Cricetulus griseus: one gene and its partner. The protein of the gene in region 1 purifies or fractionates together with the protein of each later gene. This does not show direct contact. Links are inferred from orthologs where the notes say so. Each region holds a gene or a part of one and is shown in the gene's direction. Other genes may lie near its edges. The genes, in order: Dnaja1 and Endog.

Region 1 (10,459 bases):
CCTTTCTTATACAGCCCAGGCCCATGGGGCCTGAGATGGCATTGCCCAGTTATCTGGGCCCTCCTGAATCAATTAGCAATTAAGAAAATGTCCCACGGACATGCCCACAGGCCAATGTGAGTTAGGCAATTCTTCACTTAAGGTTCCATTTTCTCAGGTTTGTCAAGCTGATAACAAACTCACCAGGAATGTGCAAATGAGTGTGCTCATCTGTTAGTGCTCTGAGGAAGGCAGAGGCAGCTGTGGATGTCCTCCTCTGTTACTCTGCACTTCAGTTTTTAAATATGACCTTTCATGGAGCATCCTGATTTGCCTAGACTGGGTGGCCAGTGAGCTCCTGGATCCCTGTCTCTGCCCCCCCCCTCTGCAATGCTGGCATTTCAGATATTAAACTACCTAACCCAATTTTTCCTTTTTGTTTTTGGGACAGGGTCTCATTATGTAGCACTAGATAACCTGGAACTCAGATCTGCCTGCCTCTGTCCAACAACCCTTGCCCCATCCCCACCCAGTTCTGGGATTAAAGGCATGGGCTACAAAACCTACCTCACACCTAGATTTTATGTGGGTTCTGGATTTGAACTCAGGTCCTCTAGTATACAGAGCAAGTTCTCTCCCCCAGTGAACCTTCTCCCCACCCTGTTGTTTTATGTCTGAGATATGCTATTGTTATGTAACCCAGGCTAGCCATGAACTCATGATTCTTCTGTCTTGGGCTACTTGGCCTAACACCACCACCACATTCATTCAGGACTTGAGTATTTTTTCTCTCTTTTACATTCATGTTTGTGTCTGTGATATACGTGGACCATGGCTTTCATATAGAGGTTAGAGGACAACTTGTGGGAGTTCTCTCCTTCCTCCAAATGGGTTCTGGAAATCAACTTGCCAGGCTTGGGAGCAAGTGCCTTTACCACTGGGCCATCTTGCCAGTCATTGAGTTTCTTTTGTAACATGCTCAATCATATCATAAATGTTTACTGCCTTCTCTATCAATTGCCCATTTGTATTATTTGACCATTTCCTCATAAATGATAGACATTTATATTAGGGATGGTAGATGATTATGTTGTATTGCAATTTTGCTTATTGTTAGCTGTTTACATAGTGTCTACATCTATTTATGCTTTTTGACCATATAAAGATTTTGGTTAAGCCGGGCGTTGGTGGTGCACACCTTTGATCCCAGCACTCGGAAGGCAGAAGCAGGCGGATCTCTGTGAGTTCAAGGCCAGCCTGGTCTCTAGAGAGAGTGCCAGATAGGCTCCAAAGCTACACAGAGAAACCCTGTCTCGAAAAACCAAAAAAAAAAAAAAGGTTAAAAATAAGGGCCATATTTCAATGGAGTACACTGTAATTCTCAGTAACCATGTGGACCAGATCATAAGTAGCTGGAGGTGGTTGTGGGCAGAAACCAAGTAGTAATGATTCATGCTCTATGCTAAGAAATGTGAATTTTATTTCAGAAGTTCTGGATGGTTTTAGGATTCTAACAGTTTATCTTTTTATGTGATGGTGCTAGTGTTAGGGTTCAAATTTGGGATTTCAGGTCTGCTAGGTGAGCACTCTACTCCTGAACCACACCCTGAACTGATAACTTATCCCATGTATAAACTGTTACATAAAAAAAAGGGGTAGTGTTGAAGGTACAGCTCAGTGGCAGCAGAACAGAATGTGCCAAGCAAGCACAGTGCAGAATATCTAGCAGAATAAGGACAAGAAAGGGGATGGAGCAGGGAGGGTAGGAGGATGAGAAGGAAGGACGATAAAGGTCGTGGAAGCAATGCCAGAGGAGGGAGGATTCTCTATGGCTCAGGACTAAAGGAGGTCATAGGTACACAGAAGTAACCTGGCTTGCTTTTTCTTTCCTTTAAAGACATAGTGTATGCTGGGTGTTGGTGGCACATGCCTTTAGTCCCAGCACTCAGGAGGCAGAGCCAGGTGGATCTCTGTGAGTTCAAGGCCAGCCTGGTCTACAGAGTGAGCTCCAGAACAGCCAGGGCTATACAGAGAAACCCTGCCCCCCCCCAAAAAAAAAACCAACTGTATTTTTGATGCCATGTTGCCCAGGCTGTCTTCAAATTCCTGGGCTTCAGTAATAACCCTGCCATAACTTTCAGAGTAGTTAGGACTATAGGTACACACTCTTGCCACCACACCTGGCAGCATTTAAAAAAAATCAAAGACAACACCTGAAGATGTGAGGGAGTGAAAGGATGGAAAGTGAGCACACACTTTTTCTAAATTGTAAAGTAGTTTTCTATGAGTCCTTAACCTTGTTCTTGAAGTCCTCTGTGTGAAATTGTTAAGGAGACATTTTTACTTACTAAGATTCTTAAGGAGGAAGACCAAGAAGGCCACAAGACAGACCACCTTCCTAAACTAATGCCTATGCCAAAGAGTCGGAACTGGGCATGTCCAAGGCCTTACTACATTTCTACCCAAATCACACCCTACAACTTACCCAGTGCTCATCTGAGATGATGGGAACATACATAATATACTTATCTGCCCTCAGGATCGCTGAACCCCAGTTTGGGGTGGCTGAGGAACCTGTGAACACTGCCTGGAGAAGGCTCTCTCTCCTGTTCCTGAGCCCTCCCCAGAAAAAAAGACAAGAAGCTAGACATGATTCCAAACTAGGTGGAAGGAGGAAGATTGGGAGTTCAAAGTCATCACACCAAATTCAAGATTGAGGTGAACCTGGAATACACAAGGCCCTGTCCCCCGGGAGAGAGAGGGAGAGAGAGAGAGAGAGAGACAGACAGACAGACAGACAGACAGACAGACAGAGACAGAGGGAGGGTGGGTGGGTGGGTGGAGAGAGAAACAAGAAGACAGGGTAGGGGTGCCAAATTCAAAGTCCACGCTGCTTGAAAACACTACAGACAAATGTCTCAGCAAATACTCTCTCACCCCATCTGCACACAGGCAGTTACACTACCTACCAAGCCAGACTTGAAGGCTGAGGGTATTCTGTAAGGCAGAATGGATTAAGAATACAGCTGTACCAGGTGGTGGTGGCGCACAACTTTAATCCCAGTACTCAGGAGGCAGAGGCAGGTACATCTCTGTGAGTTCAAGGCCAGCCTGGTCTACAGAGCAAGTTCCAGGGCAGCTTCCAAAAGCTACAGAGAAACCCTGTCTTGAAAAAAAAGTACAGGAGACTGAACACAAGGGTCAGGTGTGGTGGCTCACACCTGTAATTCTAGCATTTGGTAGGCTGAAGCAGGAGTTCCTTAAATTCAAGGCCAGCAGGACCCCCAGAGTAAGGCAGAAGTGCAGGATTTATTTTTTATTTTGTTATTTTATGTGTATGTGTGCTTTGTATGTCTGTGCAAAAGAAGAAACTTCAAATTAAAGCAATAACATTAATTTCTCACATATACCCCCAGATACAGTCTCAAATATCCCAAGTAGCCTCAAACTTTCTATATAGCCTTAGTTGGTCTTGAACTCCTGATCTTCCTCCTTGAGCCTCCAAAATTCTGGGCTTATAGGTAGAAACCAAGCCATTTGATTGTAAATTTTCACTTGTAAAGCTGGCAAAGATTTAATAGCAAGAGAGCAAAACAGAATCCCCTATATTTGCAAGACCCACTGGCACAATGGTGGAAGCAGTACAAACCAACATAAAGTTATTTTAATTTTCAATTTGCTCTTACATTGACTCAGCAATTTCAGCTCTGGGTGTCTGTCCTAAAGAAATATTTGCAAGCCAAGTGTGGTGGCATGCACAGGCCTATAATTCCAGCTCTTTTTCAGGCTGGCAGGAGGAGTACTGCTCTAAAGTATAACCTATTACTTGATATGATACCTGAGAGTGTAACACATGAGAAAAATAATGTTTTTCAGCCAAAACAAAACACATAGTAAAAGTCTGCAAGGGAAGTAGTGTAGCTTTAGTGCCTGAAATAGTTTAATGAAAGCATTAAGGCTGAAGAGGCAAACCGCACAAGGCTGGCACTCCAAAACCTTAGCTTATTAAGACATACCAAGAGGTAAAGAAGTCTCCAGATAGGTTTGAAAACAGCCTTTACAGCTCCCTTAGCTCTGGCTACATCCAATTACCTATGATTTCCTTAAGACACTGAGATGACAGCTCTGCTGGTAAAGCACGGAAGACCTGAGTTACCTATGGAAAAGTAGGAGAAAGCTGCAATGCTCCACGTGCACACACACAATAAGGCGAACATTTAAAGCATCACATTCCACACACCTAGGCTTCCAGTGCTTTCTTTGTCCGTTAGGAAATGTGCTCAACTGCGTTTTGTACAAGTGCTGAGCTACATTTTGTGACTTCTCTTGTAATTTGCTTTGTTCAACATCCAACAAAATTCTAAGCAGGAGGCTCAGTGGTGTGGTTAAGAGCATGTATTAGTCTTCACAACTGCCTGGAGGCTGAGAAGTTCAGAGTTTGAGGCCAGCTTTGGCTACAGAGAGTACTAGGCTACCCTGGTCTATAATGTGGCAAGACCCTTTCTGAAAAAACAAAGCCAAGGAGGGTAGAGAGAGATGGCTTATCAGTTAAAAGCACCAGGTGGCTCACAACAGCCTGTAATTCCAATTACCTGGGATCCCACTCCCTATCCTGACCTCCAGGGGCACTAGGCATGCATGTGGTGCACATACACACATATAAACCAAACACTCATACACATACAGTAAATATAAAAATAAAAAATCCAAACAAAATATACGAGTCTCTGTATAAAAGTAACCTGAACAGACTCCATGCCTCTGACTTCCTTGGGCACCTACACAGACACACAAGATTGAAAGTAAATCTTTATAAAATATGTCAACTCTACTTTCCCAAGCTTGCACCTCCAGCTGCTTTGTTTGATACGTCTACTGGGTTACTGAATAAGAAAAAAACACTCCATTTTTTCATTCTGTCCTTTGAAGGCCTAAGGTTCACTTTGCCAACTGCAGATTTTGATTCGCTGACTAGACCTAAAGATGGTCAGAAAATTAAAACAATTAGCTAAAGAAATTTTCTTTTTTGTTGCTACTCTGCAGTCAAACGTAGTGGGAGATTGACTAGAAAAGAATCCACTGCCCTCAATTTACATAAAGCATTCCCTGTTTGCTGCAGCCCCAGGTTCCCTCGGCCTGAGGCATTGGAGACTTAAGGATTTGAAGCCTGGGCTCGCCCAGAAAGCTCTCACACGGAAGTGCACTTGGGTGAAACCACCAGATTCAAAGCCTGCAAGGTTGGTCTGGCGACTAGGCCGGTCTGGCTCAGCATTTCTTGCCTGCAGGGCTCAGAAATAAGGGGCTGCAAAAAATTAGGCTCCGGGTGGGGTTAGGGTTGGGGTTGGGTTCCGGCAGGTCCCCTTCGGCGAAGCGCCTGCGGCATACATAACCTCTGCACTTCAAGACTTCCGCACTCTGGGCCCTCACAGTAAAGAAAGGCCTCTAGAAGATTCCACGAGTCTCGGAACCCGGGCCTGAGTCCACCCCCACAAGGCCCTTGGGCACGGCCACTCCCAACCCCAGCGCCCCCGCGCCGTTGCCCAGGTAACCGAGGGGCGGCGGCAGCGGCGTGGGGCGGGACTTCCGGCGAGTGACGCGCCCGGGCTCGGCTACAAAAGAGGTCGGCTGCGGCGGGCCGGGCGGAACTTTCCAGAACGCTCCGTGGGAGGTGGAGGAGCAGCGTCTGCCCCAACTGCGTTGTGCTACGCTCCTCTTTCCGCTCTCCGGCACCGGCCCGCTCACCGGTGAGTCTCGGCCCTCGGGCCTTCCTCGGCCGCGACGTGCGGCCTGGGCGCCAGATAGCCGAGGGGAGCCGCAGCCGGAGGCGGTTGGCCCCGCGTGGGCAGGGGCTGCGGGCTCCCTGAGCCGGAATCCGGCTTCGGAAGGCCGCCGGGATGCCCGGCGCCCTCCCCGACCGTCTGTACGCCGCGAGGAGGCCCAAGGCCCGAGCCAACTCGGCGCCCGCCTCAGACTCCTGTCGGTGCGCACCCCTTTCTCCCCGCCGCCCGCGCCGGGTGGGCAGCGCTGCGCACGCGCGGACCGAGGCAGGGGTGAGGGGCTGCGGGAGGAGCCGGGCGGAGGCTGCGGCTTGTGCTTCTTCTCCTGGCTCTCCTCCCTCTCTTTGTTGAGGTCCGGCCTTCCCCCTCCGCCTTTTCGATCCGGGTGGGAGGGAGAAAGGAAGGAAACCTTAACTGTAGGCGCCAGGTGCTGGGGGGAAATCCAGAGGGCGAGTCAGCTTGGCGGGCCTGAGGGACGAGAGTGGGTAAGCGGCGAGCAGGATCAGGATGGCGACGGGGCCGGGGGCACCTGCTCCCCGGAGCTGGTCTCATAAGCCACTCCTCCACCCCCGGGAGTCCACTGTCCTTTTCCGGCGAGTGAGGGCCTTTATCAGATGTACAAAGGCAGTGCTAATGTACTAACCAATGGACAGAACCTACCAGTGCTGCTTTGGGTTACTAGCACAACCTGTGGGGAAAGGAAACCGGAAGGAGCCCCATCACACATGTGTTAGTGCGGCAGAGTAGGAACCAGCTGCTAGAAAGGCTTTCGAGTTCCCCGCAATTTACGTTTATATTTAGTCTGTTAGAATTTTCAGCCAGATCATATCAGGAATTGATAGCTTTAAAGTTAGCGAAGGCAGTGTTCTTTATACGGCAAAGAACAGATTGCTCTAGTTCTGGTAGTTTGCTAAAAACTACCAATTAAAAGCCGGTCATGGTGGCTCACACCTTGAACCCGGCTCTCAGGAGGCAGAGGCAGGTGGCGCTTCTGCACAGCACTAAAAGCTGGTTTAAAGCTCCCCGTTTTTCTGATTTCAGGCTGTGAAAGATGGTGAAAGAAACCACTTACTATGATGTTTTGGGGGTCAAACCCAATGCCACCCAGGAAGAACTGAAGAAGGCATATAGAAAATTAGCCTTGAAGTACCACCCTGATAAGAATCCAAATGAAGGAGAAAAGGCAAGTACATTCTCGAACAGTTCAGCAGTGTTGCCATGTGTGTACTGCTGGTGCCCGAAAGTCAAGGTTGTAATACAGTGGCTGTGCCGTGTGACAGTTATTTCTAATGGGATTTCTTTTTCTGAAACAGTTTAAACAGATTTCTCAAGCTTATGAAGTTCTTGCTGATTCCAAAAAAAGGGAATTATATGATAAAGGAGGAGAACAGGCCATTAAAGAGGGCGGAGCAGGTGGTGGTTTTGGCTCACCCATGGATATCTTTGACATGTTCTTTGGAGGAGGAGGGAGGATGCAAAGAGAACGGAGAGGTAAGAAAAAGTACAGCTTACCTGCAGCAGAATGAAATGGCTGCTACTGAAAAACTGAATTTACTACCTTCAGTGCTTGTTTACATATTGGTATGATGCCTCTGATTTCTGGTGTCATTTAAAATTGAGATTTTTAAAAAAGAAATTTAGATAGTTGAGATTTTTATGTAATCAAAATAGCTAAGCCAATCTAGTGGGTATCTCCCATCCACAGATACCCAAACAGTAAGATAACAGCATGGCAACCTGGGCTTCTAAGCCCTTACACATCATGCCCCTAGAACAAACACAAATGGTTAAGTGTAATGGCCTTTATCAGTTAAAGAAGAGTTGAGAAAACTGAAACATAGCAAGCCAAGACTGAAAACAGCTCATTGCCTCCAGATAACCTGCTGCCTGTTTAATCTTACTTTAGCTTGCTAACTCAGTTTATATGCATTTAATGTTTTAACAAAAAAGTTGTCTCTGAGCTAGACAGACTTCTTGGGAAGATAGCATTGGAGGTCAATAGTACTTCATTTTTGTTTACTGTGTTTTTACAAGAATTTACTGGAAATGAATGTTGTGGCCCTGAAAAGTGGCTCAGTGGTTAAGAATACTGTACTCTTTGCAGAAGATCCAGATTTCAGTGCATGGCTCACTACTGCCTGTAACTCCCGCTCAAGAGGATCTGATAACCTCTTCTGACCTCTGGGCTTTCATACAAACATGTATGCACAAAAATTAAAATTAAAAAAAATCTGTTGTGAACCATAAGGATAGTATGAGCTACTAACTTTTGGCTTATTTTAATATGAGGGTTTTTGTTGCTGCTGCTTTGGAAAGTATACTTGGTCAGTTTCCAGAAGCTTTGTTTTTCCTTTTCTGTACTCTGTATACAAAGTTAAGAAATGGGCAACTTTCAACTTGGAAGAACCTGCTTACATGTTCTTTTTGTGATAGTAGAAATCTAAAGTAAAGCTAGAAACAAAAGGATATGATACTTAACATCTCACTTAAAAGAGTAAATGTTCCTTTAGGTATGATGGTCAGAAAGGATTGAAACTGTTGTTAGCCACCAGGCAGTGCCATTTGGTGATGGATAAAGTCCTAGTGGAAGGATCACTGGCTAGGAACTTATTAACCATAGAGGGTAATTTTATTTCCATAGCCTGATTATCCTTGTGTGATCTCAACCTCCTCCTCCTATTGCCATAGGTAAATTAATTACATGTGGCATTCCTTTGTAGTCACTAGCCAGATGTGAGTCTTTAAATTAAGATTAACTTAAGGGAGGGAGGGTGGATATTCTCTCCAGCTGTGGTAGTCACCACACTTAAATTGTGACTAGTAGTTGCTATATTGAACACATGATACGCCCATCATTAAAGTTTTCTGTTCTATTACAAAAAGCATAAGAAATTTGTCATTTGAAACAACCAGTTCTAGCCTGGCAGTAAACTATTGAAACAGAAGTAGGAATTGTTTCAGTAGTGTCTCAATATTGGCTTCTCTAGCCAATCTTGATTAGAAAGAATGTACTGTTTGGATGAAGTAACTGGCCATGTTGCTTAATGCTTAGTAAGTGAAACCTCTAAAGGGATACATGCTTTGAATTGTTGTGAAATGTGCCTGAACATTGAGTGACTTTTAGTCGCTGCATTTCTAAGAGGGGGCCTCTTTTGTGTCGTTAGGCAAATGAACCCCTGATGTAATTCACTTTAACTGTGATTAAATCAGTTTGAGAATCAAGTTATTGGATGAATGTTGTATATGGGTATAGCTCAACAGGTGTATAGTATAAGACTGGTCTTTGATTATCCTTTTCCATTTCTATGGTGCCTTCAGCAAACATTACACATGGGTTTTTAATGAGCAGTGTTTTGTTCCAGGTAAAAATGTTGTGCATCAGCTCTCAGTGACCTTAGAAGACTTGTATAATGGCGCAACAAGAAAATTAGCTCTGCAAAAGAATGTGATTTGTGACAAATGTGAAGGTAAGGGTTCTTACTTACTGTTGGGTTGTTATAGTTTTTGAGATAAGGTCTTTATAGATTAGGCTGGCCTTGGATTTGTGTCCTGCCTCAACCTGGGGATTACTACAAGCCCTTATGCCTAATTTTCTGGATAGACAAAACTGATGCTACACTAAAAGGAGCTGAGTGAACCTTCCAAGAAAACTCGTAATGGCTTTGTTGTGACGTTTTCATGCATGTATATAATGTATTTTCATCATTGCTCTCCTGCTCAACTTCCACTAAAACCCTTCTGTTCCTTGATACTCCTGTGTGCCTATGTTTTGAGTCCCATTAGAGTTGTTTACAGGAATATGGGTGAGGGATTGCTTACAAAAGGATGGGCACCTTATTCAGTAGCTATATTACAGAAGAAAATGTGTATGCAGGGGTGAGGCCTTGACAATAGCTTCTCCCTTTATTACAAGGTGCTGATGGGCCTAATCTGTATAGGCCCTAAGTAGCAATTTTTTTTTAATACTTTGTATTTGCATATGCATGTTTCGGTGTCTGGGAGGTCAGAAGACAACTTGTAGTAACCAGTTTTCTTCAACCAGGCATTAAAAGATCAAACTCTGGGGTTGGTCAAGCTTAGTGAGACCAGCAAAACCTTCTCTCAAGGTGGAAATGTGCTATCGGAACATTAAGATGGTGGTGCAGGCAGTCTTGGAGTTTACTGCCTGGCTCACTACTCACTCAGAAAGTAAAATACCGCAGGTGCTTGCAGAGGTCTTCACTGTTAGGCCTGCCTACTTTGAACTCTAACTGCAAAGGCAGGACACCCCACTCCCCACCTCTCTACCACCCCACGGGAGTTTTGCCTGTCTGAGTGTTTATCTCTTGTACTGCTTTATGCAGTACCTATGGAAGCCAAAAGAAGGCATCATATCCCCTGGAACTAGAGTTAAAGAGGGTTGTGAGCCACTACGTGGGTGCTTGGGATCAAATCCAGGTCATCTGGAAGAACAGCCAGTGCTCTTAAGTGAGTCATCTCACTAGGCCCTGCCTTCCCTTCTTCCCACCCCTTTGTTTCTACCAAAATCCTAAGAATACATACTATTGACACTTAGCTGTGTGGTGGTGGCTTCGCATGCCTTTACACTCGGGAGGCAGAGGCAGGAGGATCTCTAAGTTTGAGACCGGCCTGGTCTACAAGAGCTAGTTCCAGGACAGCTTCCAAAGAAAGCCACAGAGAAACCCTGTCTCGAAAAAACAACA
Region 2 (10,382 bases), on another chromosome or scaffold:
TGTTAGCTCGTAGTTCAGCCCCAGCATTGACCTCTTCATTGCCTGGAAGCCAGCAGATACTGCCTGGGACACCTAATGTATTCCCTCTTGCCTGTCCTTCCCTCAATCCCTCTCTCCCACCCTCTTCCTTCCTGGGACCATGCTACTGGAATCACTGCGTCTGATTTATTTCTGTGGGAGACCTGTAGCCTGTGCCCACTACTTGGTCCTTGAGATGAAGGCCAAGGACATGGAGACTGTCTTGAGTAGGTTGACTCCTTTCCCATTGGGTGCTGCCTGAGGAAAGGAGTTGCCCTTGATGACTCTTAAGGGAGAACCAGAGTCTTGAGTACCTGCAGCTTCCACCTGGGAGTGGCCTCCAGGAGCTCAGCAAGTCACCCGAGGGTCGGAACAGCAGTGGCTTTTGTGTTCTCATCCGTTCTCTGAGTCAATGCTGTTAATGAGTTGTCTTTAATAAACCGTATGCTCTTTTTTTTGAGTGTTGGTACTTTGATGGCTGGACTTGAGACTTTGGAGCAAGGACAAAGTCAGTCTGGTCTAAGAAAGACCAGAAAATGCCAGAAGAGCCTGACTCTTCCAGTTCAGCAAGAGACAGATGGGCATAGGACAGAGGGGCTTGCCTGCACACATCACGTTGCTATCCCTGTCTAAGGTGTACTTATTTGTGTGTGTCCTGTGGGTTGAGAAGTCTTGCTACAGTCTGTTCCCTCCTATCCCATGGGTCACAGAAATCAAACTCAGGCCATCAGGCGTGGTGGCTGTGCCTTTACCCACTGAGCCACCTCACCTGCCCTGGCAGTGAATTGTTCTTTAGAGACAAGGATTTTGCTCTGTTGTCCAGGCTAGCCTCAGACTCTGTTCCTCCACTTTTAGCCTCTGAGGCTGGGGCCTCTGCCTCCTGAGTGTGTTGGGATTAAAGGTGTGTATCAGCACAGCTGGCTAAAAATCAGGAGTGTTTCTATATACTAACTGAAAATAATAAAATGCTACTTGCAACACCTGAAAGAGATGAAAGTACTGAGGACTTTTGTACTGGTCATAGGGCTCAGGCCCTCACACACATCAAGCAAGCACTGGACCACTGAGCCAGACACGGCCCCAAGAATACCAAACATTGTGAAGCCTTGGAAGAAGATGAAGGAGGTGCAAAGAAACAAGAGGGTACTTACTCTGCATTTCTGGGCTGGGAGAACTCATCTCCATTCCCAGTACCCAGAACACTGCAAGTAAATAGGTTCTAGGTGCTGAATGAATGAACCTTTTCCAGCTGGTGAGGAAATAATATTCCTTCTCCAACTTAAGCAACTCACGGCTAAATAAGCCCAGGACAGGGAGTGTGGTAAGAAGGTGGCTTAGGGGCTGGAGAGATGGCTCAGCGGTTAAGAGCACTGACTGCTCTTCCAGAGGTCCTGAGTTCAATTCCCAGCAACCACATGGTGGCTCACAAAAGAAGGTGGCTTAGGCCACCCCTCAGTGATTATGGGATGGTGGGAGGAAGGGTTCCAGCTCGCTGCAATTTAATGTTAAGTGAGCTGGGGGTGCAGGAGCCTGGTGCACTAACTCAAGCCCAGCTCAGTAAATGTAGTCCCTATCAAAACTCCAGTGTGGCCAAGTGTGGTGGCACGTGCATGTGACCTCAGCACTCCACAAAGAGGATCCTGGCAAATTTGAGAACAGCCTGGTCTGTGCAGTGGGTTCCAGTCTTCCTAGAACTACATAACGAGGCCCTACCTGAAACAAAATGGCTATGACATGGAAGTGTATGTAGCTCAGTGGTATTTGCCTGAGGCTATGGGTCCTAATACACACACACACACACACTCTCTCTCTCCCACACAGATATGACATTTTTCACAGAAAAATGAAAGCATCAGTTTGAAAATGTGTCCAGGAACCATAAAAGATACCAAATACCTGATATAATCGTGAGCAAAAAGGACAGTGCAGGAGGCCACCTTACTTTAAAATACTAGTTTATGGTAATCAAAGCAGCCTGATGCTGACAGAAATACAGGAAACCCACATTTATTCCCAGTACTTGGGAGGCAGAAGCAGGCAGATCTTTGTGAGTTCAAAACCAGCCTCGTCTACGGAGAGAGTTCCAGGTTAGCCAGAGCTGCTACAGGGAGAAATCCTGTCTTGAAAAACCAAAAAGAAAAGGGAAAAAAATATGACATCAATTTATAGACCCAAAACCCTAAAAACAGGCATAAGCCTTGCAGTCAATTGATTTTTTTTTAAGATTTTTTTTGTTGCCATTTTTGATTTTTGAGACACGGTTTCTCAAAATCTTGTTTCTCGGCAGTCCTGAAATTTGCTTTGTAGACCAGGCTGGCCTCAAACTCACAAAGATCCACCTGCCTCTGCCTCCTGAATGCTGGGATTAAAGGTGTGCACCAACACTGGCTGGCAAAAAGATTTTATTTTATGTGTGTGAGTGCTTACCTGCTATATGTGTGCCTAATGCCCATGGAGGCCAGAAGAAAGCACCAGAGCCCTTGGGATTGTAGTTACAGATGCTGTGAGCCACCTTGTGGATACTGGGAATTGAACCTAGGTCTTCTGCAAGAGCAGACTGTGCTCTTAACTGCTGAGCTATCTCTCCAGCCCCTGTAATCAATTGCCTATTGACAAAGGAGCCAAGAACTCGATGGAGAAAGGACAGTTCTCAGTAAAAGGTGCCAAGAGAAATGATTTTCCACACAGAAAAGTGAAATGAGACTTTTAAATCATGCAGAGATATCAACTCTCAAATGGGTTGCAAACTTCATCCCAGCCCAGAACTGTAGCTATCAGAAGACAGGGGGATACTTGTTGGACATGGCCCCTAAAGTGCTCTTGTGTTTATTGGTAACATTCACAGGAGCCAAAAACAAACAAACAAAAAAACAAAAAAACTAACGTCCATAGATGGATAAATGGTATAGATACACATGTAATACTACTCAGCTTTTGTGTATGTGTAAGTCAGTCACCCCAGACTGGCTTCAGGCCCATGGTAATTATGCCGCAGCCTCCCTAGCACTGAGATTACAGATAGGAATCACTATGCCAAACTACTATTAGGAAAAAAAAAAAAAAAACATGTTTCCTATGCCTACAATCTATAGAAAAAATACTGATGTCTAGTGCAACTTTTCTTTTTTTTTTTTTCTTTTTTCTTTTTTTTGGTTTTTCGAGACAGGGTTTCTCTGTGTAGCTTTGGAGCCTGTCCTGGCACTCGCTCTGGAGACCAGGCTGGCCTAGAACTCACAGAGATCTGCCTGCCTCTGCCTCCTGAGTACTGAGATTAAAGGCGTGCACCACCACCGTCTGGCCTTGAACTTTTCTATGTAGGTGAGGACGACCTTGAAATTTCAGTCTTCCTCCACCATCACATCTGGTTTATGGAGTGCTGCACAAACCAGGCTTTGTGCATGTTAGGCAAGCATTTGGTCAACTGAGCTGAATGTCTCACCATAGACTTAACTGTTATTTTTACTTTATATGTATGTGCATGTCTGTATGTGGGAACACCCATGTATGAACTCAGGTGCCTGCACAGTCCAGAAGGCATTAGATCCCCTATCACTGAAGTTATGGGAGGTCATGGTTGCCTGTAATTGAACTTGGGTTCTCTGCAAGAGCAGTATATGCTCTTTAAAGAACAAAATTATGTTGTCTGTATAGGTGTTTTGCCTGCATGTATGTCTGTGGACCATGTATATCTGGTGTGTGTGGAGATTCTTTGGAGTTACAGATGGTTGTGTGTAGCCATGTGGGTGCTGAGAACTGAACCTGGGTCCATTGCAAGACCAACAAGTGCTCTGAACTACTGAGCCATCTCTCTAGCTCCCTCCCGCCCCCAGTATGAGTTCTTAATTGCTGAACCATTTTTCCAGCCCACAACACCACATTGTCTTTTTTAATTTTTTAAATAAAAGTTCTTCTGGCAGTGGTGACCTTTAATCCCAGTACTCAGGAGGCAGGGGCAGGTGGATCTCTCTCTGTCTCTCTCGCTGTCTCTCTGTCTCTGTCTCTCTGTTCTCTCTCTCTCTGTCTTCTCTCTCCTCTCTCTCTCTTTCTCTCTCTCTCTCTCTCTCTCTCTCTCTCTCTCTCTCTCTCTCTCTCTCGATACAGGGATACAGGGATACAGGGTTTCCCTGGAAACTCACTCTGTAGATCAGGCTGTCCTGGAATTCACAGAGATGGCAGGTAGATCTCCGAGTTCAAGGCCACCCTGGTTTACAGATCAAGTTCTTCAACAGCCAGGGCTACACAGAAAAGCCCTATCTTGAAAAAACAAGCAAACAAAAAAGTGAGTTCCATTGTAACACTTTCATTTGTATGTGCTACTAATTTTTATTATTTCCTTCCAGTACTCTCTTGTCCTCCAAAACCTGCTGATCCTCTATTTCCCAATTTAACTTTTAATGAATAATTTGGTTTTGTCTCTTACTAATGAGTGAGGCTCTGATGGTACATTCTCAGCCCTATTTGCTTATTTGTTCCTCCACCTTACTAGGTGGTAGGCAAGTTGCTCTCCTAAAATATTCATAGTTTAAATACTGTTCCATCTGATGTGCAGCAAATAATCTTATCCAGCTCCTAGTGTTGAATGCTTTGTGTATTCCAGCTTCTATGGACAGGAAACACTGTCTTATAAAACATGCTTCCCAGGCTCAGCTCTTTAAGAGGGTTAAAAGGAGCTCAGCACTTGGGAGGCAGAGGCAAGTGGCTCTCTGTGAGTTCGAGGCCAGCTTGGACTACAGCTCGAGTTCCAGGAGCGCCAGGGCTGTTTGACTGTTAGAGATAATCCTGTCTCAAAAAACCAAAGCCAAAACCAAAAAGAAAGAAACGTATGACCCTAATGATCTTAAATGATTTTAGTGTAGGCTTTTCAAGTAGTTTTCTATAACCTTACTAGCAAGCTTCAGCTCCAGGCGGCTGTCAGCAGTTACAGCCTAAACCTTTTGCCAGGCAATCTAGAGGAATATTTATCATTTCGTGGCGCAATTATGGGTGGACAGAGGTCTGACAGATCTGGGGTTCTGTCCTGTCCAGGTACCTAGATTTCCCAGGACTTTGTGGGGGTTAAATACGCGGCCGCTAGGGCGGCGCTGCACGCCCTGCAAGAGGCAAGGTTTCCAGAGGCGCACAAGATGAGGCGGAGCCAGACTTGGCAGTGACCAATGGCAAGCGAGTAGGGCGGTGTCACGCCCCAGCCCGCGTCTCCAAAGGGCAGCGGAAGGCCCTGCGGACGCCCGCGTGGGGTCACCGGAGGCTCCTGCACCTGGGTCCAAAGACAACTTCCCGCACTCAGGCCGCGCTCGTCCTGCTGTAGGCCATGCGCGCGCTGCGGGTCGGCCTGACCCTGGCGCTGGGCGCGGGGCTGGGTGCAGCGGCAGAGCACTGGCGGCGACGGGACGGGACAGCGACGGGGCTGCTGGCCCGGGTGCCAATGTTGCCCGTGGTGGCGGCCGAGCCGCCCGCGCTGCCAGGAGGGCCGGCGGGCGGTACCGGCGAGCTGGCCAAGTACGGGCTGCCCGGCGTCGCGCAGCTCCGGAGCCGCGAGTCCTACGTGCTGAGCTACGACCCGCGCACGCGCGGTGCGCTCTGGGTGTTGGAGCAGCTGCGACCGGAGAGGCTCCGTGGCGACGGCGACCGCAGCGCCTGCGACTTCCGAGAGGACGACTCTGTGCATGCGTACCACCGTGCCACTAACGCGGACTATCGCGGCAGCGGCTTTGACCGCGGCCACTTGGCCGCCGCCGCCAACCACCGCTGGAGCCAGCGGGCCATGGACGACACCTTCTACCTGAGCAACGTGGCCCCACAGGTAGCCATGGTCCCCAAGGGGTAGCCAAGGGGCTGCTGTCACCTGCTTGACAGCAGCACCTTGGTCTGACTTTACACGTGCACCCCCGTTGCAGGAAGGAATTGTCCTATTTGTAGTCAGGCGGGTTTGAACTTACACGGAGTAGCAGTAATGCCAGCCAGTAAGCTGCCCAGTGTGGTTTTCTGAGGGAACTCAGGAGGTTTCCTACTCCGTATATCCAGCTGGCCTGCAGCAGCTGCCAACAAAACAGCTGCCACGAAGTTGGATTTGCTTGTGCCAGTCACATCACCCTGAACACATTGTTAGCACTGCACCTGCTCCCAGGAACTGGGTTCCTGGGACATCCATCCAGTGACTGGAGATGGATAGGGGCATGGGGCTGACCCTCTCCCCCACCACACCCTTTTTCAGGTTCATTCTGAGGCCTGGCAGGCCGAGGGAGAGTTCTATATGATTAATGCTCCCTCTTTCTTTGGTTCTCTGAGCTGGGGAAAACGTAGAGATCTGAAGTGCCTAGGAACGAAAGGGGTGTGGCTAGTAGTGGTCAGCCCTACCAAAGCTCAACCCCTGTAGTCACAGTGCCTCAAGGAGTGACCCCTTCTTTGAGCCTTTGCCCTCCACATGCTTGGTCATCTCCTTAGGACCTGGGCACTCCTAACAGAAGGTCCTGAACCTTGCTTCTCCCACCAGGTGCCACATCTCAACCAGAATGCCTGGAACAACCTTGAGAAGTACAGCCGAAGCTTGACTCGCACTTACCAAAATGTCTATGTCTGCACAGGGCCTCTTTTCCTGCCCAGGTAAGCCTCCCACCCCTATTCTCCAATGTTGGACTTCCTGCTTCGATGTAGCCAGAGATCTTTGGGTGGCCCAGAAATCTCCTGTGCCCAGTTTCTAGGCCCCAAATCTTTTGACACATCTTGTCACCCCTCCATAACCCATGTTGGGGCACCAAGCTCACACCTTTGCTGTGCTTGAAGCATTCTTTCCCAAGATCAGTTTTTCAGTCCTGCCAGACAGGCAAGCTAAGCTCCTCTGAACATCAGAAAGCCTTGTGATCAGCACAGGCTGGGCAAGGCAGTTGCTGAGCAAACTGGAAGCTACTGCTCATCCTGCTGAACACCAGGCCCTGGGCTGGGACTGGGATTCCCACTGTCATGGCTCGCACCTCCTTGATTGCTGCTTGCACTGCCTATAGGGACAGTCACATGTCTACATGGTGTACAGAGCTCATTCCTCTAGCAGCATTTATTGCTACCCATTCTGGCTGAACCAGTATTGGGCAGAAAAGCAGAGGGCTAAGCGTTGGTCCCCACCTTACAGAGTTCCCAGACCCAAGGAGGCAACCAGGCTTGGCACTTCAATTTCTTGTTGGTCAGGTCAGGGAAGGCTTCCTGGAAGAGGTGGCCATGTGTGCCTGGTCTATCCTCAGGACGGAGGCTGATGGGAAGTCCTATGTGAAGTACCAGGTTATTGGAAAAAACCACGTAGCAGTGCCCACACACTTCTTCAAGGTGCTCATCCTGGAGGCCACCAGTGGGCAAATTGAGCTGCGTTCCTATGTGATGCCCAATGCCCCTGTGGATGAGACTATCCCTTTGGAGCGCTTCCTGGTGCCGATCGAGAGCATTGAGCGTGCCTCTGGGTTGCTCTTTGTGCCCAATATCCTGGCTCGAGCTGGAAACCTCAAGGCCATCACTGCTGGCAGCAAGTGAGGGTGAAGGACTGAAGACACTGGGAGAAGGGGCTGGCTCATATTAAAGGTGGTTATTTTTGGAGACAAGTCTTGACCATCTCTATTTCTGGTAAGTCTCTGTCTCCCTGGATCCACAAAGTTGTCAGGTAGTTCAGGAACCTGCCTGGGTGAGGCCAGGTTGTAGGGCAGCCAGGGAGATGAGTATGGCTTCCTGGAAGAAAAGAAGTTGGCTGGGATCTGGTAGTTAGGCAGTGGTCCCAGGTCCTTGTCTTCACAGCCAGCTCCCAAGACCCAGCCCCATGTGGGGCCTACCTCAAGAGCCAGGAAGGATAAGATGATGGGCAGTTCTTTTCAGCTGGTTTAGCGGCAATGACATGGGCAGGGCCTCAGGGACAGGCAGACTGGGGCTGTCAACCTCCAGTCACCACCCTTATAGAACCCATAGAGACAGCATTCCATACTGGCCCCAAAGACGGTCACACAGGTGCCATGGATGCTCCAGTCTTGTGAGACCCTTTCCCCCAGCACAGAAATGTTGACACCCAGAGGGACTTAGGGTACCACCAGGGAAGCTGAGGCCCTGAATAGGGATAGGCAGGTTACCTGGGCCCCTCAACCTGGGAACATAAGAATACTACTGGCCCAGGACTTGCCATCTTTATGGCTCTTTTATCTTGTCCCTGCCACTAGTTTGCTATGGTAAAGACCCCATCTGTAGAAACGACATTTAGGCTGAGGCTGTAGAGATGGCTCAGTGGTTAAGAGCACTGACTGCTTTCCCAGAGGTCCTGTGTTCATTTCCCAGCAACCACATAATGCTTCATAACTGTCTATACCTGTAGTCTCATGGGATCTGATGCTCTCTTCTGATACGAAGTACATGCAGACAAAACATCCATGTATATGAAATACATAAGTACATCTTCAGAAAAGGCACTTAGGGTGGGTTACAAGAAGAACTGGGTGCCTGTGGCTGTGGCTCACCTCAGTGCGGATGGTACGGCTGCCCTGGCTGGGGCATGTGTTGACATAAAAGTCGAACAGGACACTGGGTTCCGACACTTCAAGGTTGGGATCAGCATCCACTCCAGCTTCCAGCCCTTGGAGGCCCCCGAACACCACAAGAGCATGCCTGGTACCCAGAGAAAGGGAGTCACTGACGTCAAAGCTCGATGGGATATAGTCCTCAGAGTTTTAGGCTCCCAACCCCCATGTACAGTAGGATCCAGTCGCTGGCTTAAGCAACACCCACCTGAAGCTGGGCAGCTGGGCAGAGGCCACGTTGGAGCCTCGCTCTGATGTCCCAATGGTCAGGTCATACCCATCCTGGAAGGGAGCCTCAGCAAACACAGCACCTGGGGGTGGAGCTAGCTCAGTGGGGTTCTGCTCTTGGCTGTGTGCCTAACATACTGTAAGGTCAGGTGGAGAGAGAGCTCAGGTAAAGGAGGCCATATACGTTCTTGGAAAGTTGAGGGCAGGGAATGGTGGAGCTGAAGCCTGAGCTTGGCCTGGGAGCACACAGGCTAGGCAGGAAGAGCGCCCAAGCCCTAGACAACGTTCAGCAGTTACACTCGCTTCAGAAGGCTTTCCTAATTTGGTGTTCGAGAGGTCTCAGGTTTACAGTGAGATTCCTGTGTTGGCCTCCTAGTGCTGGGATGGCAGCTGGGAGCCAACCACACCCTGCTCTCAGATGTTCTTAGCATTCCGAATAGACGCTGGGGAGACTAGGGCACCAGAGATGGTGCCACCTAAACACATACCCTCTAGTAGAACAGAGACCCTGCTCGGACTTGTGGGTATAACAGAAGGGACAGAGGGACATTCAGGGAAGCAACTTCTGTCCTTACTGAGACAGGAGGCCAGTCGAACAGTGTAGCCCCAGTAGAGACCAGCTTTGGTGCGGGGGTCCTGCGATGACACAACTGTCCCCTTGTATGTCTTGCATTCTGGGGAGCAAAACAGGCTATGAAGACCAAGGAGACAGGGAGGTAGGTAGGAGGAGGCTCTGAGCCAAGCAACTGTAAGGGCCAAGGAAGCTTCCAGATACCTGGGAGCTGCTTCTGGTTCAGTCGCACGGTCACTCGAAGTCCAGGTTCCAGTTTCTTGTCAATCTTCACCTCCTGCAGAGAAGCCAGAGGCAATGAGTGCCACACTTCAAAAGGGGCCAGCGCTCTCAGAGACCCAGTGGAGGAACTATGGTGCCAGGTCAACCTGCCACCCTGTTTCTGGCACTGGGTGGGACCTACTAAGAGGGACCATCACGAAGAACAATTATCACAGGGAATTGGTCAGAAATGGAAGCCTGGGGCTTAGGACATGGAGAGTCAGTGTCTACAAAGAGATGAGGTCTCGGGCTAGAGCCATGTTCAGGGGTTAAGAGCCCTGTTTGCGCTTATGGAGGTCCTGAGTTCAATTTCCAGCAATGAGATCTGGTGCCCTCTTCTGGCCTGCAGGCATACATGCAGACAGAACACTGTATACTATATATAATAAATAAATGTTAAAAAAAAGGATGAAGTCACAGATTTCTTCCTTATGGTGGCTTTGCCACTTGCTGGCTGTAGGAGTTTGAGGAGGTCAGTTAGCACCCATGTGCCTCAGTCTCCTCATCTGTTGAATAAAAGACATTATAAACAAGAGCTACTCTTGGATCCGCAAGATGGCTCACCAGGAAAAGGCATTTGTCTCCAAGCCTGATGACCAGAGTTCAATCCCCACTCAGTGGGAGGAGAAAACTGACACTTGTCAAGTTGTTCTCTGACCTCACACTTACTCCTTAGCATGTGAATGTTTACCTACACATTCATACCTACATACATTAAAAATAAAAAAACTTAAATGTCAACTAACACCAAAACCAGCAAAGCT

Evidence for each region.
Region 2: the proteins of Dnaja1 (region 1) and Endog purify together in Homo sapiens (affinity purification with mass spectrometry; 3 studies listed by BioGRID and IntAct, counting the BioPlex papers as one, with this or other methods). This does not show direct contact. The link is inferred for Cricetulus griseus from reciprocal best matches to the Homo sapiens genes DNAJA1 and ENDOG.

The regions. Positions count from the first base shown.
Region 1 is NC_048595.1:101,874,040-101,884,498, reverse strand, and holds the start of Dnaja1 (dnaJ homolog subfamily A member 1), read left to right. Parts: upstream 1-5,585; 5' UTR 5,586-5,723; intron 5,724-6,092; exon of another isoform or gene 6,093-6,108; intron 6,109-6,797; 5' UTR 6,798-6,807; coding exon 6,808-6,939; intron 6,940-7,069; coding exon 7,070-7,247; intron 7,248-9,118; coding exon 9,119-9,223; intron 9,224-10,459.
Region 2 is NC_048599.1:141,825,649-141,836,030, forward strand, and holds Endog (endonuclease G, mitochondrial), read left to right. Parts: upstream 1-5,190; 5' UTR 5,191-5,326; coding exon 5,327-5,818; intron 5,819-6,508; coding exon 6,509-6,618; intron 6,619-7,040; exon of another isoform or gene 7,041-7,250; coding exon 7,251-7,533; 3' UTR 7,534-7,596; downstream 7,597-10,382. Other genes in the region: putative methyltransferase C9orf114 homolog, read right to left, coding at 7,666-7,725, 8,499-8,646, 8,767-8,869, 9,362-9,460, 9,562-9,634. UniProt on the Homo sapiens protein: Endonuclease that preferentially catalyzes the cleavage of double-stranded 5-hydroxymethylcytosine (5hmC)-modified DNA.